Linked DNA regions of Arabidopsis thaliana. The protein of the gene in region 1 binds, or shares a complex with, the protein of each later gene. Each region holds a gene or a part of one and is shown on either strand. Other genes may lie near its edges. The genes, in order: TOP3A and RMI1.

Region 1 (12,127 bases):
AATGATGGTCCTTTTTGTAACTTTGAAGCTATAATAGACTCTAAGTACTCAAATCAACAAGATAGAGATGGCCGACATGGCATGAGAACTTGGCTTTCCTCATTCTCTCACGACCTCAATTTCGTGCATTATTATTCTATTGTAAAGTATCAATTATACTCCAAGCAAAACAGTTGTTTTAATCTTCTATATACAGACGACAACCAAGATAACAACTGGAGAAGGGACAACAAGCTCGACTATAAGTTATAGTCCAAGGACAAATGCTTCGAGAAGCTTGTCAATTTTGAGACCAAACTTCAGTCTTGTAATGAGACTACTAAGAAGAGGCAATGATAAGTACCCACTTGATCATTCACAGCAAGATACCTAATTGACTGTTCAATATACCGAACCAAGCTATACAAATTCCAAGATTAGTATGAAAAGTACCTCAAGTGGCTACAACAACTCCTTCGATGAGGAATGTAAGAAGAAACGCGTTCTTGTTCCACAGGAGACGGCCTAATCAGTAATCACCTCTCTCTCTCTTTTTTTCCCTTTCATAGTTGCCGAAGAAAATGACCCGAATCCTACGCCGGAGAAGCTCGCCGGATCCTCTGTTATCTCAATTTCGATTTGAGAATTTTAAATCTTTTATGTTCAAAATGGACTGAAAATTGGTGTGCCGTTTTTAAACAACAAAACGGCGTTTATTCCGGTTGTTGTGTCGTTTTCTTACAGAGCAAAACGACTGTGGTTTGTGTTATTAACAGTTGTTAATATCTATTACTTGACCATCTCTAAAAACAAATTCGGAGGACTAAACTTTGTAGCTTAAGCATTTTGTTAATATCTATTACTTGACCATGTCTAGACTCAAGATCAATGGCATATACATAGTGATATAGTTGATGTATGAATTATGAATTATGAGACAATACAAAAAAAATGATGAAATATGGATCCACATTAGCTCACTAAGAACATAACTAAAAATTAAAAACGACTATTCAAGATTTATAAATAAAATAGGTGGAAACTATTCAGTGATTCAGAATAGCACGTGAAATATTATATTTAAAATATCCAGCTAACAGTGATCTACGCAAATTAGGATGAATTCCAGAGAAAAAGTGGTCATAAAATAAAATAAAATAAAATACAAAAACCCAAATTAAGTTAGTAGCACTAATTAATCATGCTACATACATAGTCAAAGTTCGTAGTAAGTAGACTTAGAAATAGTTACCGTTAGAGTTATTACGATTAGGACAAGCGTTAGCAAAATGTGAAGGATCGCCACATGAGAAGCACCTTATACCACTCACTGGCTCTCCAGTTGCAGAGACAAAGCTTGTTCCAGAGCCGCGTCGTCCTCCACTGCTTTGGCCGCCTCTACCTCCACGGCCACGACCACGGCTGCCACGTCTACCGCTCCCGCCGCTATTAGACCCTGTTGTTGCATTCCCACTACTGTTGTTTATGCTATCTTCCCATCTGTTTACAAGCAGTGCAAACAAAAAACTGATGTGTTGAGTGATGTAAAAGGAAAAAAAAATGGATTATGCGAAGAAATTGGGGTAAAACCAGACTCTTACGCAAAGAAACTGCAGCCTTGTGTTGGACATGAGAAGAATTGTCTTCCCCTGTTAGCTTCTGTGTTGGCTGTACGAAGAACACATTGTGATCCACAAGTGTTACATGATACTGTACTTTCATCTGCATTATAACCAACAATACTAGAATATAAATTACATGTCAATAAGGAAGACTTGGTCTGGACAATTTGCTTGAATTTTGACTAGTATATAGTACATACTAGCAAAAGCTAATCGATGATCTTTGTTTGCTAAACTATTATACAAGGATCAGTACCGTTTCTCGGATTTGTTGCAGTAGGACGAGAATTTCGAGATGCTGGAACCCGTGAGGGACAATTCGTGGAAGCATGTCCTCGTTGCTGACAATGTATGCAGACATTACTCTGTCTTGTGTTGCTTCCTTGGATATTGTTTGACGGTGCAGTACCTGGAGTTCTCCTTGCTGCAAGAACAAATCATTGATTCTTTTTAGCCTAAATGTTCTCTATTCGCAAGACACTATACTAAAGTTCTTGCATTCTCATTTAGGACAGAAGATGATGAAAGAAAGATTGTATGATGTCTAATACAAAGGTATATGTATTGCGTAACAACAAAGCACTAACCTTGAGAACGGGATCCAGTTCCACAGATGTCTATCAACTGTTTAAGAATGTCATCACAGCCACCCACGCAACCTGATCACAACATTACCATAGGACATATTAGAAGAAGTCACGATGAAATTGGCACGGTGGCTGTGATGACATTAAAATCAAAGCCTGGTAAAAAAATCAAAGCCTGGTAAACAAGAAAACAAATTGGCTGCAATTTTTTTTACCTAAGTGATTAACATCAAAGCCTGGTGGAATTCCAATTTGACGGAACTTGAAAAGTATCTTGTAGACCGGGCCTACAGAAAGAGAAAGGCACCATTTAATAATAAAGACAGAAAGACACATGTACACGCTGTGTCATCCAAGTGTAATTTAGTTTTTGAAATTCAATTCACTGTTATACTGGAGAATCTGTGGCTATACCTGGACCACAGGATTGACAAACATTAGTAGTGACAGATGCTTCCAATGTCGGTCCAGGAAGCCAGACTGCATTCCGACACTAGAGAAAGGAAAATGTGTGAAATTAATATAATAGATGTAAGCAAGGAAGCATAAACGAAGAAATACTGAAATGTCAAATGATTAGATCATAATCTTCAGAAATAAGGTTACAATACAGAGAGCAAAAAGTTTAAATTTCCAACAATATATATGGTATGTAAAGAGCGGTGAAATTCTGACCTGAGGATAATTCATGCACCCAACCATGAAATTGCCATCCTGCAAAGAAAGGGAATAGAACGTTTAACCTGTGGTTCCCATTAACAATAGGGAGAACAGAGAAAATTTTGTTCAGACAGAATATATGATACCCGGTTCTTCCTGAGTGCCATATCTGATTCATTGCAGAGATTGCATCGTCGGACAACTTCACCAGCTGTCTGACTTTCACTCTCATCAGTGTTATTAGATCTGCACATGCAGTATCATATTATATTACGAAGAAATAGACTTCAGCTACACAGTACTGAACAAAGTAACGAGACTACCTTTCAAAGAAAATTGTCATTGCTTCTAGGAGCTTTGATTTTTTTACTCTTGCCTGCGAGAATTAAATTTGTGAATGACAATTAGAAAAACACGGCATTCAGTTCCAGCCTACTGTGTTAGCAGCACCTTCAGCAATAACAGATTTGGCCACAGAGAGAAGACAAAAAGTCTAATAAAAAACAGCTGACTCACATCTAAGAAACAAGCTTTCATTTGCTGCAAACATGTTTCAAGAACTTCAGCTTTGGTCTTCCTGCCAACGCTAACTTCATTCATATCATGTTCCATAAGGGCTCTGAGATTTGGTTTCCAAAGTTCATACCTGAGAGAAAAACGTCAAAAGATTGGCAACAAGAAGACTGACAGACATCAAAGTCTTAGAGGGCTCTTCAAAAGGGGCTTGATACAAATGAGGTCTCTCCAAATAGATAGGCTCTTAACATAAAAATATAAATTCTTTAATCAGTTTACTCTGATTAGAAGGGAAATATGATTGAAAGCCACAAATATATAATGATATATGAAGGAGGCTCTAAGTTTTTTGAAACGTAAGGAAAATTTGTAGTACATCACATGCAGTCTTATACATACCCCATGTCATCATATCCCATCACAAGCGCCTCACCCTGAAATGAAATCAGTACAGTAAGCTAACTTCAGAAACGCTGAACAGACATATAAGGGCTAAGAACATATATATCAAATTATCCCAGGGAGAGTAGTCTTGCTATAACTCCAGTTAATAAAGTTAATTTAGATGTTTTATACACTTAAGAGTTCAGACAATACTACCACTATATATAGATACACAGTTTTGCTATAACCAGATAAAGTTCATAAAGATGTTTTTATAGTCTAGAGACCAGAAAACGTAACCAATATATGTCTAGGCTGAAGTTTGAGATAAAAGTATATTTTCCAAGGATAATCATTATGTTATGTTATGCAACCTTATAGCTAATGAAAGATCCTGGGAAGCTACAGGTATGATGTTGGTCTAGTAAACAAACTTATATATGGTCACAAGCAGTTCCTGATTCTAACGTGTAGGCGTTATTAACGCCCAAAAGCAGTTGTAACCCTAATCTTCATGCTGCCATAATTCTACACTCTAAAGATTAAAATAAATATACAGAGTATAGAAATAAAAAAAAGACAAAGGGAAAAATTCATAAAGCTTATGTATCATATCAGCTACCAGGTTGGTTGGAGAAAACCGTGTATTAGCATCCTTTGTTGCATAACCCCGATCAAGGAGTTTCTTTATGTGGTCGTGCATTGTCGCATCGGTGCCAATGCCTGCCTAACATTCACAAAAGGTAGGATAATAAAGAGTTACAAACATAATCGGATGATAAGTAGGGGTAGGTGAACAAGAGTATGCAAACACCACCACGAAAGGAAGGGGAAACAAGAAAATTTTAAAAACCTTGTCCATACAACTCAGTAAGTCAGCTTCACACAATAGTGGTGGTGGCCTTGTTACAGCTGCATCGAGAGTCAAAGTTGTTGGGATAAACTGCACATTACCAAGAAATTCAGAAATGTCATTGATTGTCCCTGCTGTAAGAACTAAGCAGTACGGTATTACAGAACAAATCCAAGAAGTGAATGTGAATCAGAAATTTTAGCAGTTAGACAGGCTCCTGTTTGGGGAAAAAATGTAAGCCACTTAAATAAGCCCCATTATGTCTCAGGAAGAGTCCAGTAGATTTAAACATATAAGACTGTCAGGATTTGACTAGAAAGCCAGCTCCCTGGGCACAGTTTTATGCCAATAAACAAGCAGCCTCGTCCATACAGATAAAGCAAACTGTGTTTGGTTCTCCAAATTTGTAGCAATTACTATTTGTTTGGGCCACTTTAATAATAATCATGACACCAGTTTTTGAACTAGAAACTACAATGCAAAGTTATGCCGTTCAATTGCATTATAGTTTAGTAGTTAAGTAATGTAACTTATAAGCAAGGACAAAGTAGTTTATTCAAAAGAGGATTAGCTGAGATATAGAAATAAACAACCTGCTGCCCTTTTTCATACACGGGAATCACTGAACCACCCCATGATTCAAAGCGGTACACCTCAAGGTAATTTTTCTAGTCACACAAAGAAAATTAGGTCAGTATCAAATTATTTATTGAAGGGAAAGTAAGCAATATATATGCTTGCAACAAAGAGCAGCTTTACATTTTATACTACCAAAACAGGAAACATCTAATCAATCAAAGTAGTTTCACATTTTATTCCACAGAAATTACGACAAAAAAGTAGAGAGTGAAGAGTCTTACGGCTAATATTGCTCTCCCAGATGCAGAAAAGCGCTCACCAGCGATATCAATCTCGACTGTAGTTTCAGCAGCAACTGCTGGCTGGGAAACACATGCTAGGTAATGGCGGACAACTAGCTCATATACATTCTGAAATAGTGGAAAAGAATGTTGGCTCCAACGTAGAAACATATACCTATGCTCGGGTATGTTAAACCAAACTGACAGCCATACTTACAAGGTGATCTCTGCTCCAGTTAGACTCTCCGCTAGAAAACTTTGTTGGGTGAATGGGTGGGTGAGCCTTGTCATCATGACCACCATTAGCAGGGTTTCTCCAGAGGCCCCCCTCAGGTTCTAATAATCTTTGTGCATATGATCCCCATGCAGGATGTCTTGTTTGTTCCTCCACCATAGCCTACACACAACTAGAGATCCTAAGAGACTATCAAAGGAAATGATAAAGTCCAAACTAACCTTACTGGCTCATGAGAAAAAAGTTACTTACACGTAAATCTGTCCTGCTCGAAAAAGAATCGGTCTCCGTACGAGGATAGCTGATGAAACCAGCCTGATATAATTCTTCTGCCACCTGTCCAGACATTTTTGATGTCATTTAACAAAAGAGAGATGTAATTGTAATTCAAAGACATATCAGCCTATACGACAGCATAAAACTCTACCAAGAGAGAACAGAATTTAGATTATGTTGAACATGCAATCCTAATAGGCCAAAGAATCATAGAAAGTATCTTAACCAATCTAAATACTCATTCAGACCTTCATGGTGTGCTCTGAACTCAGACGGAAATATCTTGAAGCACGTTTTTCAAGTTCAATCGTGTTCAAAGGATAAGGAGGATACTTGAATCGTTCCCTTGGATGTGGGACATTCATTACCTGGATGGAGATTATAAAGTAAATACACAATGTTAACTAGAGATGGAGTGTCAGATGATATAATTCCGTCTGATAAGATGTTTCTTTTTTACTCACAGTGGCAGTAGGTTCCTCAACGCACATCTCATATAATATGACAGCTGAAGCATAATCGAAGAGATGACCACGCCTGCAATAGAAATTATATCAATGTAACTTTCAAGAAGATTGGGAACAACAATAAGGAAGGCAGTTGAAAATCGTACATCCAATTAAAGGTGGCAAGGCCTTCTTCTGATTGGTGAGAACAGTTGATTGTCCAAAACTCTTCTGGTTCATGTGCCTGGATCTCCCAGTATCGCTCGACAATAAAGCCAAGTGTAGGAAACTTCAGTTGAAGCAGAGAAATATCAAATCTAGCTACATTAACTGGCTCTGATATGTAAAATGGGACAGATTGTTCTGAAACTTATCGATACTGGTTTCACATTACCTGACACGGACCATAACTTATAACACGACTCCTCTCCTCACCCGTAGAGTCAATAGCAAACCTATCTCTCAGCAGCATAGTCTGAAATCTAGTGAAAGAAGCACCAATGCGTAGGTCTATTTCCTAAAGTTTTCGAAAAAAACATTAGCTAATACAAATTCGGTAGGAAATACTGCTAACACATAAACAGAAGAGGGATTTCAGGAGAAACTCACTTGTCTAGCATCTACAGCCTCAGCAAACAATTGATTAGGATCTCTAAGATTCTGAACTGCTTCATGAATATCCCTAGCAATTACATCATTGGAATCAGTTCAATCGTTTGAAATAGAGTGCTTAGTAGAAGATATATGAGGAATAACGTGTAAAGCAATCTCTACCTGTCAATTAACGCAGAGAAATGAGCCCTGCGTATAAAAAGATTATGCTTGACAGCTCTGCAAACATCTACAACTTCAAATGCAATGTTTTCACCTTCCCTATCACAATCAAGCCACAGCACAAGCCAGTCGCTTTTCCTTGCCTCCTCCTCCAATGTCTTCTTAATATCCTTTTTGTCCTAATTCACTCAACACCAGAATTAAATAAAACTTGCAAGTCAGAAAACCCCAACTTCATTATAAAGGCGAATCAAAGATCCTAGTCCCGTTTTATACAGTTGCAATTACCAAAACAAATCAGACCCAATCAACAATTCCTAGTTAGAGAAGCAATGACTAAATCAACAACCCAGAACTATACAAAAGCATACAAGTACAATGGGACATTAAATCAATTAGGCGTGCACACACATACAATAGAATTACCTCGGGAACGTGTTTCATGACCGGAGCTTGGTACAGATCTGCCGGGTCGCAGGAGTGCCATTTGCGGTAACGATCGGCGAACTCAAGCTCCATCAGGTGGCCGATGACGGAGGTCATTAGCATACGACACGGCTGCCCATTGATGGCGTAATCGAACTCGAAGATTTTGTTGTACCGAGACCTACCCTCCCGAGTCCGGAAAGTTCCACGGGATAGAATCCCCGCCACTGACTTCGCCACGGACGGCTTCTCCGCCACGTTCAACACTGTCACGGGGCCACCGCCTCGTCGCGACATCGCCGGTAAAGAAAACCCTAACGGTTAGTAATTACGTTTTTTTGTTTTCAGTAGGCGAATTTTCCCGCTCTTATGATATAGCCTAGCTACTATTGGTGGTGTCACTGAGACACTGACCGAACAGTTGTGGAAATTTGTGCCTTTAATGGGCTTCAATAATTCGGTTAAAGTTGATCTCACAATTGAAATTGAATCAAAACCGGACTCGGATCCGGTTAGCTTCTTATGATATATGACTATATGATAAGTATGTTTAAATCGTATAGAATATAGATCTTGAGCTTAATGAGATTAATTCAATTTCTTTAGAACACTTGCAAAATAAATAAATAAAACAAAATAATATTTTTCCTTTATGCACTATAGAGTTAGTCCGATAGGATAAGGGCCCAAGAAGGCCTCATTGATAATTTACAATCGAGAGAGAGAGCGATAAAGTCAACTCGTTGACTAAAATGAAAGATTTCCCGATAGCAATCTCCCTTCTGTTCGCTCTACTATCGCCGGTTCTTCTACCTTGCTCCGGCGATTCCACCGGCGGCGTCGAGGATGATTCTCCAGCGACCGTATGTATCGTCGGGAGTGGGATCGGAGGCTCATCCGTAGCTCACTTCCTCCGTAACTACTCTGTTTCCACCGGCTTAAATCAAGCCAAGATCCTGATGTTTGAGCGTCACGAGATAGTCGGTGGACGCATGAGGACCGTCACTGTCGCCGGTGATACTTTCGAAGCCGGCGGTTCGATTCTCCATCCGAAGAACTACCACGTTAAGGATTTCGTCGAAAGGTTCAATCTGACGGTTCGATTACCGACGCCGATTGAAGAATCTTCAGCGATTGGAATCTGGGATGGGAAGAGATTTGTCGTCAAGACATTCGGTTCCGGTACCAAATTTCCGTTTTTGGATACGATCGTCTCTTGGGTGAATGATCTCTACTTGTTCTTACGTTATGGGTTATCACTGCTGAGAATGAGCAGCTTCATTGAGGTATTTAAATGTAGAACCTTTTGATTTCAGAATTGGCTATCAATTGTTGAACAATGAGTTTGTTGTTGTAAAGTGATTTTAATTTGTTAGCTAGCAATGAGGATGTTTTCGTAACTTGATTTTGCATCTAGGTTTGTGTTTGTGTGTGTGTGTGGATCCTTTTGTATGTTGACTGATGTTGATTTTTTATGTTCGTAGAATACAGTTGATAATTTCTTGAAGTACTATGAAAGCTTAGAGTCAAGACCTATCTTCGACAATGTTGAAGGGATGCTTAAATGGTCAGGCTTGTACAATCTCACAAAGCTCACTCTACAGGAGAAATTATCTGAAGCTCAGCTTTCTCCTTTGTTAGTCAACGAGCTGGTTACGGTAATCTTTCTTACAATACTGTCCTTCAAAGGCCATTTTAATCTCTTCTTTGCTTATATGGTTCAACATATAACTCTTCTCCTTAACAACTTTTGCCAATTATCATCCTATTACAATTTTGAGTGTGTTTATTGTGTTTCTCCAGGTTATTACAAGGATAAACTATGGACAGAGTGTACTCATCAGTGGGTTGGCAGGTGCTGTCTCTTTGGCGGGTTCAGGTGGAGGATTATGGTCTGTTGAAGGTGGAAACTGGCAGATGGCTGCAAAGCTCATTAATCATTCAGATGTTACGTTACACCTGAACGAGAAAATTGAATCCATTTCATATCTCGAAAACCATTACGAGCTTAAATCCACTAAAGGAAACAGCTACAAGTGTGATGTCACAGTAGTTGCCACACCATTAGACGAAGTGGATATTCAGTTCTCACCCACGATCTCAATTCCTAAGAGAGAACTACAACACACGCACACGACATTTGTGAGGGGGCTTTTAAACCCAGTAAGTATCAATCACTGTCTGTAGTTTTAACGTTATCCTGATCATGATTCTGACTCGTAACTAATGTGTGATCATGTTTTCTCTATGAAAAGGGATACTTTGGGATGAAATCGCTTTCAGATGTTCCAGCTTTGGTGGGAACCCTTGAAGATCCTCTAATTCCATTCTCATGCATCTCAATTCTAAGGAAATATAGTAAAACAGATATGACATACAAGATTTTTACGCGACAACCTGCATCAGATTCGTTGCTTGATGAGCTCTTCAGGTAGTTACAACACAATCTCTGTCAGATTTGAAGCACATCTGTTCAGTTTCATTAAAACTGGTTCAATTTCTCTTCTTTCTTAAACAGTAGGAGAACCGAAACCGTTCGAATAGACTGGGGTGCATACCCAAAGTACCACGCGCCTGAAGTTTTCGCACCATTCATATTAGATGACCATCACTTGTACTATGTGAATGCTTTTGAAAACGCGGCAAGCACAATGGAGACAAGTGCAGTGGCTGGTGAGAACATTGCCAGACTCATAATTTCCAGATTCATGACAAAGGAATCATTATCTTCCTCGGACAAAAGAAGCTGTAGTTCTGGTCTGCACTCAGACTCATAAACAACTTTGGTCCCCACATAAACAAGGACTATTGGCTGTGTGTGTTTTGAAGAAGAATATGATGTTTATGTATATAGACACATAAAACAGTTTTGAGTTACTGATTGTGTTTGTTCCTCGTAACCTAAGCTTCTTCTTTTTTTTAATCTTTTTCGAGTTCTTGAATCAGACCATTGGCATTAGCATACAAAAACAAAAACAGAGAAAGTTAAGAATCTTTTAGTACCAAGACAGAGACATAAACAGCTACATAAGTTGATTCAATATTAGATTTTACTACGTAAACAACAGCAAAGTTGTTGATTCAATAGCATTTTATATAAATAAATAAAAAACTTTATTTAGTAGTGCATAAATGATAAAGCAAATTTTCTAATTAGCTTTTGTTGATTAATCGGGTTAATAAATAAATCATTAATGTAAAAGATTTTAATATAAAATAAGAATCCCCAAAAAGAGCTAAATTATTCTGCAGAAGACGCGTCTTCTTTCTTCTTCGGTAAACTTCAAATCAGAAGCGAAGAAGAGATCAAATCAATCTGATCGTAGATGGGTTGTTTCAGTTGCTTCGACGGAACCCAAAAGGAACAGCGTAAGGAAGAAGAGAGACAAGCCTCCGCCGAAGCTCGTGCCAAAGCCGCCGAAGCTGCCCAGCGACGGTTTTTATCTCTTTTCTCTTCGCCTCTATTGAAAAATTGATCCTTCAGGGTTTTAGAATCTTAAATTCCTTTGAAATCCTAAACTTTGAAATTGTAGATATATGGATGTTAATTTTTGGTTTGGTAACGCAGGAAAGAGCAGTTTGATAAGTCTGCAGCTGGAAGAGCTGCACAAGCTCAATTACAACAAATGGCTAAACAATCTGCAAATACTAACAAAGGAGAGCCTGTTCTTAAGGTTTTTAAAACTACTTTCCTCAATTTATGTATCATCATCAAGTTAAAAGTTTGCTTATTCAGCTTTATCTTTGCTATGAATTGCAGTGGCAAATGACGTAGTGATGAGTCCTGGTTTCAAAAGGAATCAATTTGTGCGATTTGGTTCTTTGTAAATTGTGTGTTCTTCAATGTTTGCAATACTTTGGTTATGTGAATTGAAGCTTATTTTCTTCCTTATTCATCTGATTATCTTTTGACTTTTGTAAAACAAAAAAGAAATAACAGAGTACAATGTTAAGATCATCTCTCTGTTTTACTGTGAGCTCTGGACTTACTATTCACTGTATCCAATAAATAAGTTGTTTAGAGCGATGTTAGAATCAAATGAGCTGATAGCTTTAGTTTCTGCGGCATGAGCCTAAGATTCATTTATGCATGTCTGATTTATGGCAATGTTTTTTAGTTCAATGGTGGGTCTTTGTGTTTTTAGTGTCTGACAGTGACAGATAGAAAGGAAATTGATACCTCAGATTGAGCAAGTGTGAGTAGAGTTTCAGCATCATCGAGTTAGTGCATTGTCTTGGTTTCTCTAAAGATTTCATATACAAATCCTATAAACAGTAGAGAAAATGAATCCAATTATTTGATTTGATATAACTCACATTCAATTAAAGCAGACTCACCCATTTAAAGACAAACAAAGATGTACCAATTATATATGGACATCAAGAGTTGTTTACTACACATTTTCTCCCCAATATTTAAGATCAATCAATATTACATGACAAAAACCAGGAGACTTGTTATTCTGTGAGACTTGACTCTTCTGCAGAATCATTTTCTGCTCTTTCCTT
Region 2 (10,112 bases), 130 kb from region 1:
TTTTTTTTTTTAATAACTAGGAAAAAGAAAAGAATATCCCGTTTTTTTAACTCTCTTGGAACAAACTAAATATGAAAACAAGGAATACAGTAGAAAGTTATTATTCAATAAATGAAGACAACAAATAAAAAGAGAGAAGTTAATATCCAATGTCGGTAGCTCATTTATACGATCAAGTTGAAATCTGGCGGTTACTAAGATCAAAACTATTAGCCAGAGTAAAAAAGTAGTCATCAACCAAAACATTTGGTTAAGACATGAAGTACTCAAAATTAATCAATCGTTATTTGATCGCAATGGTAAAATCATGGCGTGTACTCTACTAATTTATATTAATGAGATTGTCATATCATTGAATGAGTTTAATCTTGCATAACGTATGTTATCTGACTTATAATGATCGCAATTGTATTTTTGTTTGAAAAGATCTTTAAGTTGGTGCAATTATAGACTGTATAGTTTAGTTTCAGATTTGTAGCTAAAAATTATATGTTCCAGTTATCTTGTGAGTTTATTAAAATTACACCATACACAAATTTTACTTGTTAATATTTTATTAACAGTCTTCTTTTCATACAAAGAGAAAAAGAGAGAAAAAAGTAAAAGAGTGGATGAGTTATGGTATTTATTAATTTGTTGGTCCATTTTCTTCTTCTTTCTGTTAACCTTTGGGACCATGCCTACAACAATGTCGAAATCATGTTGACACGTAGAGACGCATACATATACGTTTCAAATAACGTCTTGTTTGCATGTACGTATACGTATAAACGTAGAGATAACTAATAGTTTTATGTATACGTAACCGACGCAATTGTAGTTGCATACTTGCATATAACAAACAAATTAATGGCCACCAGGCATGCTTCGGTTGATTTCTTTGAGAACACTTGTTGCATCAACGAGATAATGTCTTTAATAAAATCGATATTCAAAAAAGAATCAGTAATCGCTATATTCCCTAGCATTCTTAACAGTGTCTATCATTCAAAATCTTACTCTTTAAATGTTAGTAGTTTAGTCGATTCGAAAAATATGTGTATCATTTGGAAAAAAAGTAACAAATCCGTTTTGACCGCTAATCCAAATATATCTACTGACAAAAAGTTACAATTTTTTCTGTTGTAGAAAAAGAATGATAATAACAACGTTGTTATCATATTGAGACACTTGACCGGTTATCATTAAACTAGTTTAGGTTTGATTGCGACCGAACCGTATTTGAATCGACCATTTAACCCGATCACTAAAAGTGTTGGGACCATCACTATCTTTTTGATACATTTACCGGAATTTCATAAAACTCTAAAACTAGTTTATACATCGATCCCCATTACCAATAATTTGTTTCAATTATTTTCCGACTTTTAATTTTGGCGCCAACTGCCAAGCAAATAATATATTCTCCTCTCATTGTCAACTTATACGTATAATTCTTATCATTATTTCTTCAAATTTATCCCATTCTATTTGGACTACGACTCTGGTATTATTTAATTTGTTCGCATTACATTCTCTATATTTTGAGAATAAATATTTATATATAACGAGCCATTCACGCATCAAAAGATCTGCACGACTGAACCATACTGAAGATTTTAATCCAAAATCTATAATGTTTTAGATTACAAGGTTTTGACCTTAGATGATAAACTTGATGGATGCATATATAGAACAACTTAGATAGTTAGATTAGATAAAAAAAGCCAACCTTTAGATCTTGACATTTAGCCGTCTCACATTTTCGAGATAAGATCAGAAAATGAAAAGTATAAAGACGTACGTAATCCTATAAAGCATTATTATTATTTTCCTTTGTATTATCTGGCTTTTAATTATGTTTGCAAACTACAAATGAATTTTGATTAATACAATAGATTTTAACATGCAAATGTAAACACAAAAAAAAAGAAGCCGAAAGGCTAACGTACACACAGAAAAAGTATGTAGGCCCATAATATAGAAAACTATAGAAGATGATGTTATACCACAATTTGTTTGTTAAAGTCTACTCAGTTAACGAGTTCAATATGTGAATACTAATAAACGCAGCAGTGCACAATAATGCAGAAATGTAGGTCTTGTGACAGAAGAAAACAAATCATATAAATTTATCTGTCGAAAATGATAACATGATTTCGATTTTTATCAAGAATTTTGTTGAGATTTAGACATGAGCCAAAATCTTTAGAACAATCATTAATATAATACTTTTGAAATAAAGAAAGTAAACTTTTTCTAACAAAAGAAATTTTGATAAGAAAGTTCTTTAAATCCCATCACTTAGTGGGTGTAAAGGCAAAGAAGCATAGATAGATCATATGGATGGCTGAAGATGACCTAGTAGTGTGTGCTACGATGTAGCATTACACATAGAGGGCAAATTTCTTTATTCTTTTTACTCGTTTCAACTTTCAAAGTATTTATTTTATGTCTAATGGCCCAAATGGTCCATATTTAAATGGCCTCTTTATCTCGATGTAACCTGACTTCGGAAGAAACTAGTGTACAACAATTAGTTAGGCATCATCAAACGTTTGGAGTAGATTAGTCGAAGAATAACATGCTTTTTCTTGTTATTCTTTTTAATATTTATTTCATTAAAAATCATAAATATGGCATTTAGGCAAGAAAAATCTTTGGACATATTCATTTACCGATTTGATTAATCGGGACCCCATATGATTTTGCCTACTATATATAGGACCAATATCTAAAATCTGAAACGTTAATTTTTAGAACAGAAGAAAAACGAATGGATGACTTTGTTGTATTTTTGTGTCAAAAAAAAAAAAAAAAAGGCTTTACTGTATTTTAAAAGGAAACTACCGAAAGAACATTACACTGTATTTTTTCCTAACCAAACAAGACTCGAGTTAAAAATTCGATCGGCCAGGAAAAAAAAAGAAAAAGACTCGACAACACTCAAATCAAACAAAACTTTTCAATTCCCGACCCTTGTATTTTTCGACAATCGTTGAATATGCGTCATCAAATCAAATTGAAAAAGATGTATAAAACCGGAAATCTATCGGCACTAAATAAAAACCGGAAATACTTTTACAAACTTTTTAATTATATATATCAATTATTTTTTAAATTGGTATTATTATTCTTTAAAACATAAAACGACGTCGTTTACAACTTAATAAAACTGTTAACGTTGACTTGAATCTGTTAAATTGACCTGTCAGTTAACTTAACAACGTGTCTTATTTGGTCGAGTCAATAAAAATTAAAGATTTAATTGGAAAATCAACTAAAATTGAGAATTTAATTCACCAAACCCAAAGTTGATACTTTATTTCACCATTTTTAGTAAACTGATGATTTTCTTGACATTTTTCTTATATAATAACCTTTGTTTTTTTATTTTTCTGTTCAGCAATAATAACATTTGTTTTATTATCTTAAAATACAAGTTCATAAGAAAACTTTACAACACCTAATCTACTTTTTGACTTTAAAATTACTTAAAAATGCAGAACTGGAATCACCAAAGGTAAAATACTCGGTTTAGTTGAACCAGGAGGAAGTAATACCTAAGCAGGTATAGATGACGTTGAGTCTTCACACTGTTTCACAAGCTTTTAGTTGAGTACTGGATCAAGGGGACAGAACAACAACTGGATTTAAGCTTGAGGATGTTCTTGAAGAAGATTTGATTCTGTCCAAGAGTAACCGAGCATCGGTTAGCGAACATCCCTGATTCATTTCGATAGCTACTGGATATTGCGACGATCTGTTCATTTCTACCACCATTATTCCCTGCAGTAACATAAAAATGAACATTTTGAAAAAAACTAGTCTTCCGAAGTATGGTCTTCATATCCAGTCCTAAGCCTAGTTTCTAGATTCAACTTATGTCTGAAAGTAACTTATGTTTGATGTATCTGATCATATAACAAAGACAGTCTAAAACTGATATGTTAGGAAACACAAGTTAGCAGGTTTTACCTCAAAGTCAGCGAGAAACAACTGGAAGCGTTTCAGTTTCTCTTTCATCATGGCATTTAGTGATGTTGGAGCTGACGAGGAAAGAGCAGCTGTGACTTCCATGGATGAATGTCCTATCCTTTTTTGTACAACCTGCAGAGGGGATGACATGGACCTGATGGGTGATCTTCATTCTAATACATCAAATTCATTGCGAAATGAGGGATGGGACTCACGTCGTTATGGAGCAAAATCTCACAGATGAGACTACCATCATCAACATAGCATAGAAGCTCATACGTAGACTGTTGCTTGAACTGGAATTTCTTCACTCCAGTTAGAAAGCACTGCAAAAAATGAATACTTTAATAACAAGAGTTGAAATCATCATTGATTGAAGACTGAGAGTGCTTTAATTAGTGGTGTTAGTAGTACCTTGATCCTTCCTTGAACAAAATGTATGGTATCTTTCATAACTGCCCATTTTTGAGACAACTCGGCTAAGTATGTGAAAGGTTTCTCTGTATTTGTAGACAGCACAGAAGGGCCTTCCAAATCGACAACCATATTACTGAATTCTGCTGCTACACCGCCTGAATCTGAACCATATATATGAGTCGTTGTATCCCTTACACGACCAGTGTCAATATGCATTTCTTCAACAAATGAAGTCACGTTAGATGTTTGATCCAATGAATTTCCGCCAACGTTGTTGGCAAAAGATCTTGCACCACTGCAGGCACCACTGCAGCTAGTACCAGTACCAGCTGTGGATGCTGCTCGGTGAATGTTACTAGAAGTTGAATGTATATCAGAAAACGTTCTTTCCCCGTGCGCAGAAGCAGTATCAATCTGCATATGCTCAACCCTTGAAACAGTAGCTCCCACATTGGTAGAAGCAAGAGGTTCATCCATCGCCCGTGAACTATTGTGAGTTCTCGTTACATGTACGGGTATGCCTGCCATAAGTGGTTTGTTCAAAAGAGAGTTAATAGCCACTAATAATCTCAAAAGAAAGTGGTCATCTCACGTTCCAGAAAGTATTCAAGGACAGACATCATTTTCTCAGAAAGACACCAAAAACGTTTTTAATGTTGTAACTCGGCTATGGTGAAGTAAGAAAAGATCATAGGAAACACAGAACGAACCATGATTGTGCTCTAGTATGTTATAATTTATGATAATAAGCTAAAAAATGGGAATAGTCTGTTTCCTTTGATTCAAAATCTTCACTTATCCACTTTCCTGTGATGGAACAAATAATTACTCTGGTTCAGGGTTGACAGTAATGAACACTTTGACTAGTTTTGTGAACTCTACTTTTGAAACATGCAGCTACTCTTTTTGTTGACATGTAATTTTTTCTGAACAAGAAGATTAATGTAGAAACTCCCCTACCTTGATTGGCTTGAGTGTGACTAGCATTGCCCGAGGCAGAACTATTTACATGATTACCAGTATCATGTACATGATTACCAGTATCATTGCCATTTAGCGACCACGCAGCTAGAGTTGCTCTGGTTGTTAAAGAAGGAACCACTCCTACCCTTGTTCTGCAAAAGTTAAAATCAAATAAAAACTTTGACAAGAAGGGTAAAATTTACAACTGCAAATAGAAAAGACAGTTAGTAGTATGTATGTTATAAACTGTTTTAACGCGATAAAATGCAACATCTTTCAACAGAAACCAATCCAAATGCAGAATTCACTAAACGAGTACATTGTCAGGCATACTCCAAACCAGTCTCTATTCTCAAGATCAAAGAAGCTGTAGCCAAAGAAATCGGTGAAACACACTGGTTGCAAATAATCTTTCCAACTGAAGAGACATACATCATGACACAAATTTCGAATATGAAGTGAGGGGGAGAAACAAAAGCTGGAGAAATATCGAATTTTGAACAATGTAAACCAATCTTTGAATAAATCTAACCTTTTTCCTCTTGGAGGTTTGTTTACTTCAACAACCAGACGCTTTCGTGCTTCTTCTAGTTCTTCAACCATCCCTCCTAAAACTTCTACAATCTCAGGTACTAGCATTAAAAGCCCATGCCGAACTTGTACACTAGATACAACAATCTGCATTTAGCTGTTCTAGTCAGTACTTGTACTAAAAACACAGACATGTATAAATAATCTTAAAGGCTGTACAATGGCCTTAGAACAAATATTCATACAATTTTCACAACTACAATCCTCAACAAGAAACACACACCTTTAAACCAGCAGGAGCCAAGACTTGAAGATCTTTAATAGGCCTGTATTCCATACCAAAAACGCGTTGAACACCATCTGTCATAGACAGCTTAAGGCACCTCTTAAGCCCTGCATTAGCATTCTCATACCTCCCTTTGAGTGGGCAGCCAATGTTAACAATCTCATCAACCTAAATTTGAAAAATTTAAGCAAAAATGTTCAGCCAAAATCACACATTGCGCAATTATATATACAGTGTAAAAACCAAACAATCAAATAACCTGCAGAACAAACGGACCAGCGAGTTCTATACGATTCATAGACGCAACGTTCGGAGGAAGAACACCACCTCCGCATAAATTCATATCGAAAAACATAAACTGCTCGAAGCAATGCTTAGCTTTAGCTGCAACATCGAGGTAGGAAAATTGTGGAATTGAAGTTTCAAGTCCTGAAAGACAAGATACCCACCACTCCCTCTTCAATTTAATCCCCATTCGAGAAAGAACCTCACTGATCGGCGATTCATAGTCATTGCCGCTCACTGACTCCGACGGATAAACCGGATACGGTGTAGGAATACTAGAATCCGGCGGTGTAGGCTGGGGATTACCAAAAACGTCGATAATCTCAACTTCCGATATAGCGATTCTCTCACCGGGATTAGGGTTAGAATTCGACGATACTGAGGTTTCCGGTTGTATAGATGAAGCAATACCAAAGCTCTGAACAGAATCACCAACTCCGCTTGTTCCAGTTTCATCTTCTTCTTCTTCGTCGGAGGAGTACCGGAGTTGCAGGCGCCGTCTACGCATTTCTTCGCCGGCGAAATTTAGGGAATTTTATTGGTTTTCCCTCCAAAATCAATTTTCTATTTTGCTTTTTTTTTTGAAAAAGTTTGTTTAGAAGCCAGAACGCAATTGGGCTCATTAGGAGGAAAATGGGGCCTGTTATAAAATTGGGCCGAGTTTTGTTGTATGTATGTATATGTGTATGTATATAAATTTGGGTTTAGTTTTGCCGCGAGCTGAATTTGGTGAAAATATTTGGGGGTGACGAAAAGAGCCCGCCTTTGTGTTCTAATTTTTGGTACCAGAATTTTTGAAAATCCCCAAATTTTTTTGTTTCTCTTCTTCATAATCGTTGAATTAGGGTTTTACAATTTCGAGTTTCCCCAAATCTGAAATTTGAGTTTTTTTTTTTCTTGACTTTTCACGTTTTGATTCGCCTGTTGTTTGGGTTTGAAATGGCGACTGAAACCCTAGATGAGAAGACACCGGAAGTGAATTCTCCGGCGAAGGAGGAAATTGATGTTGTTCCGAAGGAGGAGAAGGAGGTAGAGAAAGAAAAAGTGGATTCGCCGAGAATTGGCGAAGCGGAGGAGGAGAAGAAGGAAGATGAAGAAGAGGGTGAAGCGAAAGAAGGAGAATTGGGTGAGAAAGATAAAGAAGACGATGTAGAAAGTGAGGAGGAAGAAGAAGAAGAAGAAGGAAGTGGAAGTAAGAAATCGTCGGAGAAGGAAACGGTGACTCCGACTAGTGAGAGACCAACGAGGGAGAGAAAGAAGGTTGAGCGTTTCTCGTTGTCGACTCCTATGCGGGCTCCACCGAGCAAGTCCGTTTCAATTGAAAAGGTAGCTTGATGGAACTTTTGTTTGTCTTTCTTATTTGTCTTTATGAGAATTGGATCAATTAGTTATGGTTTTTTGTTGTAGGGTCGTGGAACACCTCTCAGAGAAATTCCAAATGGTATGTATGAGAATCAATTTCGATTTGTGGTTGTTTTGATTGAAGTCTTGTGAATTTGTGATGTGTAGATCTAATTGTTGTTAATCAGAACGATGAACAATCTTGGCTGGTTGGCACATCTTAGATCTAGAAGATGAGATAGCTATTGTGAGATTTTTCCTGTCTGTGTTGGCATGATTATAGATAGAACCATTTCATTAGAAAAGCTTGGGCTTTTGGTCTACTTGGATACTATTACTTCTACCAATTTGATACCTATAGTCTGACTTTCTGATGGAATATCACTATTAGTCTATTAACTTGCTGTCTGTGATTTGCTTAATTTTGCTGTGGAGAAATACTCATACTCTGCACTGTTGTTGATAAGAAGATGAGATTTTTTTTTTCTTTCTTTCTTTCTCTTGTTTGTTTGTTTAGCTTGAGGGTGAAAATTTTAGTTATTTTGATAAAGACTTGTTTACATTTATTTTTGATTAGAAAGTTGTCTGATAATTTTTGCTGTTTCAGTGGCTCATAAACTATCGAAGAGAAAAGCTGATGACAACCTGATGTTACTACACACCATTCTTTTTGGGAAGAAAGCAAAGGTGCGCTAAAAGTTGCTCTTATATTCCACATATGGTAGTTATGTTTCACTTGCAAGCTTCTGTCTCTGTTAGTATGGATGTCGTCTCGGAATTTTCATTGTTTCTTTGCCAGAGTGCATAGCTACTTAAAAAGCGTTTTGTGAAAATTTCTCTACAGGCACAGATGGTTAAGAGAAACATTGGTCAATTTTCTGGCTTTGCCTGGTCAGAGAAAGAGGTATAACCCATTTCAAGTTTATTTTGTTACAGGGATGTGTATGCTGTTGTCCCTGGTGTTGAAACTTTTATTTAAATGTTTCTTAGGAGGAGAAGCAGAGAGCACGAATAAAAGAGAAGATTGACAAATGCGTAAAAGAAAAATTGATTGTTTTTTGTGATGTGCTTGATATCCCTATAAGCAGAAGTAACGTGAAAAAAGTAAGTGATAAGAAGATGTAGTCTATCTATTTATTGCACCTTGTTCTATATTCTAAGAAATCCTCTATCCTGATACTGCCAGGAAGAACTAGCTGTCAAAGTGCTTGAATTTTTGGAATCTCCCAAGGAAACTAGAGATGTTATAATTGCTGATCAAGAAAAGGTATTATTGGAATCAGTACATTATTGTTCTACATGTTCATTCTCAATGGGAGCACTGAATTCATTTTTAGCAGGCGAAAAAGCGCAAGAGTACACCAAAAAGGGGGAAATCTGGAGAATCTTCGGACACCCCTGCCAAGGTTTGTACTTTGTTATTATCTCAATTCTCTTATTTGCATTCATTGCCTGCTACTGGCGCCTTTATAGCTTGTTTTTCTTTTATTTTCCTCATATGACTGGTGTGAATTTTGATTTTAAATGTTTGGTTGGATTACCGTCATTCGCATGAATTATTATATGCTTTCTCATCTATGTGACTTGATTTATTAGTTGTTGACCATGGGTTGTACAAATATCCCTGTTTTGTTACTACGCAGAGGAAAAGGCAAACTAAAAAGCGAGATCTTCCATCTGACACGGAAGAAGGCAAGGATGAGGGAGATGCTGACTCTGAAGGAACTAATGATCCTCATGAAGAAGATGATGCAGCGCCAGAGGAAGAAAGTGACCATGAAAAGACTGACACTGACGATGAGAAAGATGAAGTAGAGGTTGAGAAACCATCCAAGAAGAAAAGCTCATCGAAAAAGACTGTAGAGGAGAGTTCAGGGTCCAAAGGTAAGGATAAGCAACCTTCTGCCAAAGGTTCTGCAAGATCTGGGGAAAAGTCCTCCAAACAAATTGCTAAGTCAACTTCATCCCCAGCTAAGAAGCAAAAAGTTGATCACGTTGAGTCTTCTAAAGAGAAAAGCAAGAAACAGCCGAGTAAGCCACAGGCTAAGGGATCTAAAGAGAAAGGTTAGAACCATTCTCAGCTGCTTCTGAGGCTTAGCCTCGTTCGATTTATGTTTTATATGAAATCATCCTATTTGTTTTTGAAGCTGATTATTTATATTTGTTCTCCTCTATCATGGATTGGAAACAGGAAAAGCCACTAAGAAAGGCAAAGCCAAAGCAGAGCCCACCAGAAAAGAGATGCTTGAAGTGGTGTCCAAAATTCTGAAGGAAGTAGACTTCAATACGGTAAGATGGTTTGATTTTCCCAAGTCCAAATACAATGTAATGG

The links.
Region 2: TOP3A (region 1) and RMI1 share a complex: the UniProt entries of both Arabidopsis thaliana proteins name them as parts of the RMI complex.

What each region holds. Positions count from the first base shown.
Region 1 is NC_003076.8:25,570,321-25,582,447, reverse strand, and holds TOP3A (topoisomerase 3alpha), read right to left. Parts: upstream 8,030-12,127; 5' UTR 7,916-8,029; coding exon 7,619-7,915; intron 7,372-7,618; coding exon 7,193-7,371; intron 7,101-7,192; coding exon 7,028-7,100; intron 6,936-7,027; coding exon 6,813-6,935; intron 6,708-6,812; coding exon 6,586-6,707; intron 6,510-6,585; coding exon 6,437-6,509; intron 6,341-6,436; coding exon 6,221-6,340; intron 6,033-6,220; coding exon 5,949-6,032; intron 5,859-5,948; coding exon 5,679-5,858; intron 5,591-5,678; coding exon 5,462-5,590; intron 5,270-5,461; coding exon 5,195-5,269; intron 4,692-5,194; coding exon 4,602-4,691; intron 4,476-4,601; coding exon 4,371-4,475; intron 3,799-4,370; coding exon 3,764-3,798; intron 3,495-3,763; coding exon 3,365-3,494; intron 3,225-3,364; coding exon 3,172-3,224; intron 3,095-3,171; coding exon 2,995-3,094; intron 2,903-2,994; coding exon 2,864-2,902; intron 2,682-2,863; coding exon 2,603-2,681; intron 2,476-2,602; and 11 more. Other genes in the region: FCLY (farnesylcysteine lyase), read left to right, coding at 8,371-8,904, 9,103-9,276, 9,422-9,781, 9,874-10,049, 10,137-10,395; AT5G63905 (uncharacterized protein), read left to right, coding at 10,945-11,054, 11,187-11,388; AT5G63900 (Acyl-CoA N-acyltransferase with RING/FYVE/PHD-type zinc finger domain-containing protein), read right to left, coding at 12,077-12,127. UniProt on the Arabidopsis thaliana protein: Releases the supercoiling and torsional tension of DNA introduced during the DNA replication and transcription by transiently cleaving and rejoining one strand of the DNA duplex.
Region 2 is NC_003076.8:25,437,427-25,447,538, forward strand, and holds RMI1 (recQ-mediated instability protein (DUF1767)), read right to left. Parts: upstream 7,013-10,112; 5' UTR 6,948-7,012; coding exon 6,414-6,947; intron 6,323-6,413; coding exon 6,152-6,322; intron 6,016-6,151; coding exon 5,870-6,015; intron 5,756-5,869; coding exon 5,657-5,755; intron 5,490-5,656; coding exon 5,335-5,489; intron 4,896-5,334; coding exon 4,372-4,895; intron 4,284-4,371; coding exon 4,173-4,283; intron 4,090-4,172; coding exon 3,958-4,089; intron 3,769-3,957; coding exon 3,607-3,768; 3' UTR 3,357-3,606; downstream 1-3,356. Other genes in the region: AT5G63550 (DEK domain-containing chromatin associated protein), read left to right, coding at 7,379-7,765, 7,847-7,880, 8,388-8,467, 8,625-8,684, 8,771-8,884, 8,967-9,047, 9,118-9,186, 9,424-9,844 and 1 more. UniProt on the Arabidopsis thaliana protein: Essential component of the RMI complex, a complex that plays an important role in the resolution step of homologous recombination, in a process called Holliday Junction dissolution, to limit DNA crossover formation in cells.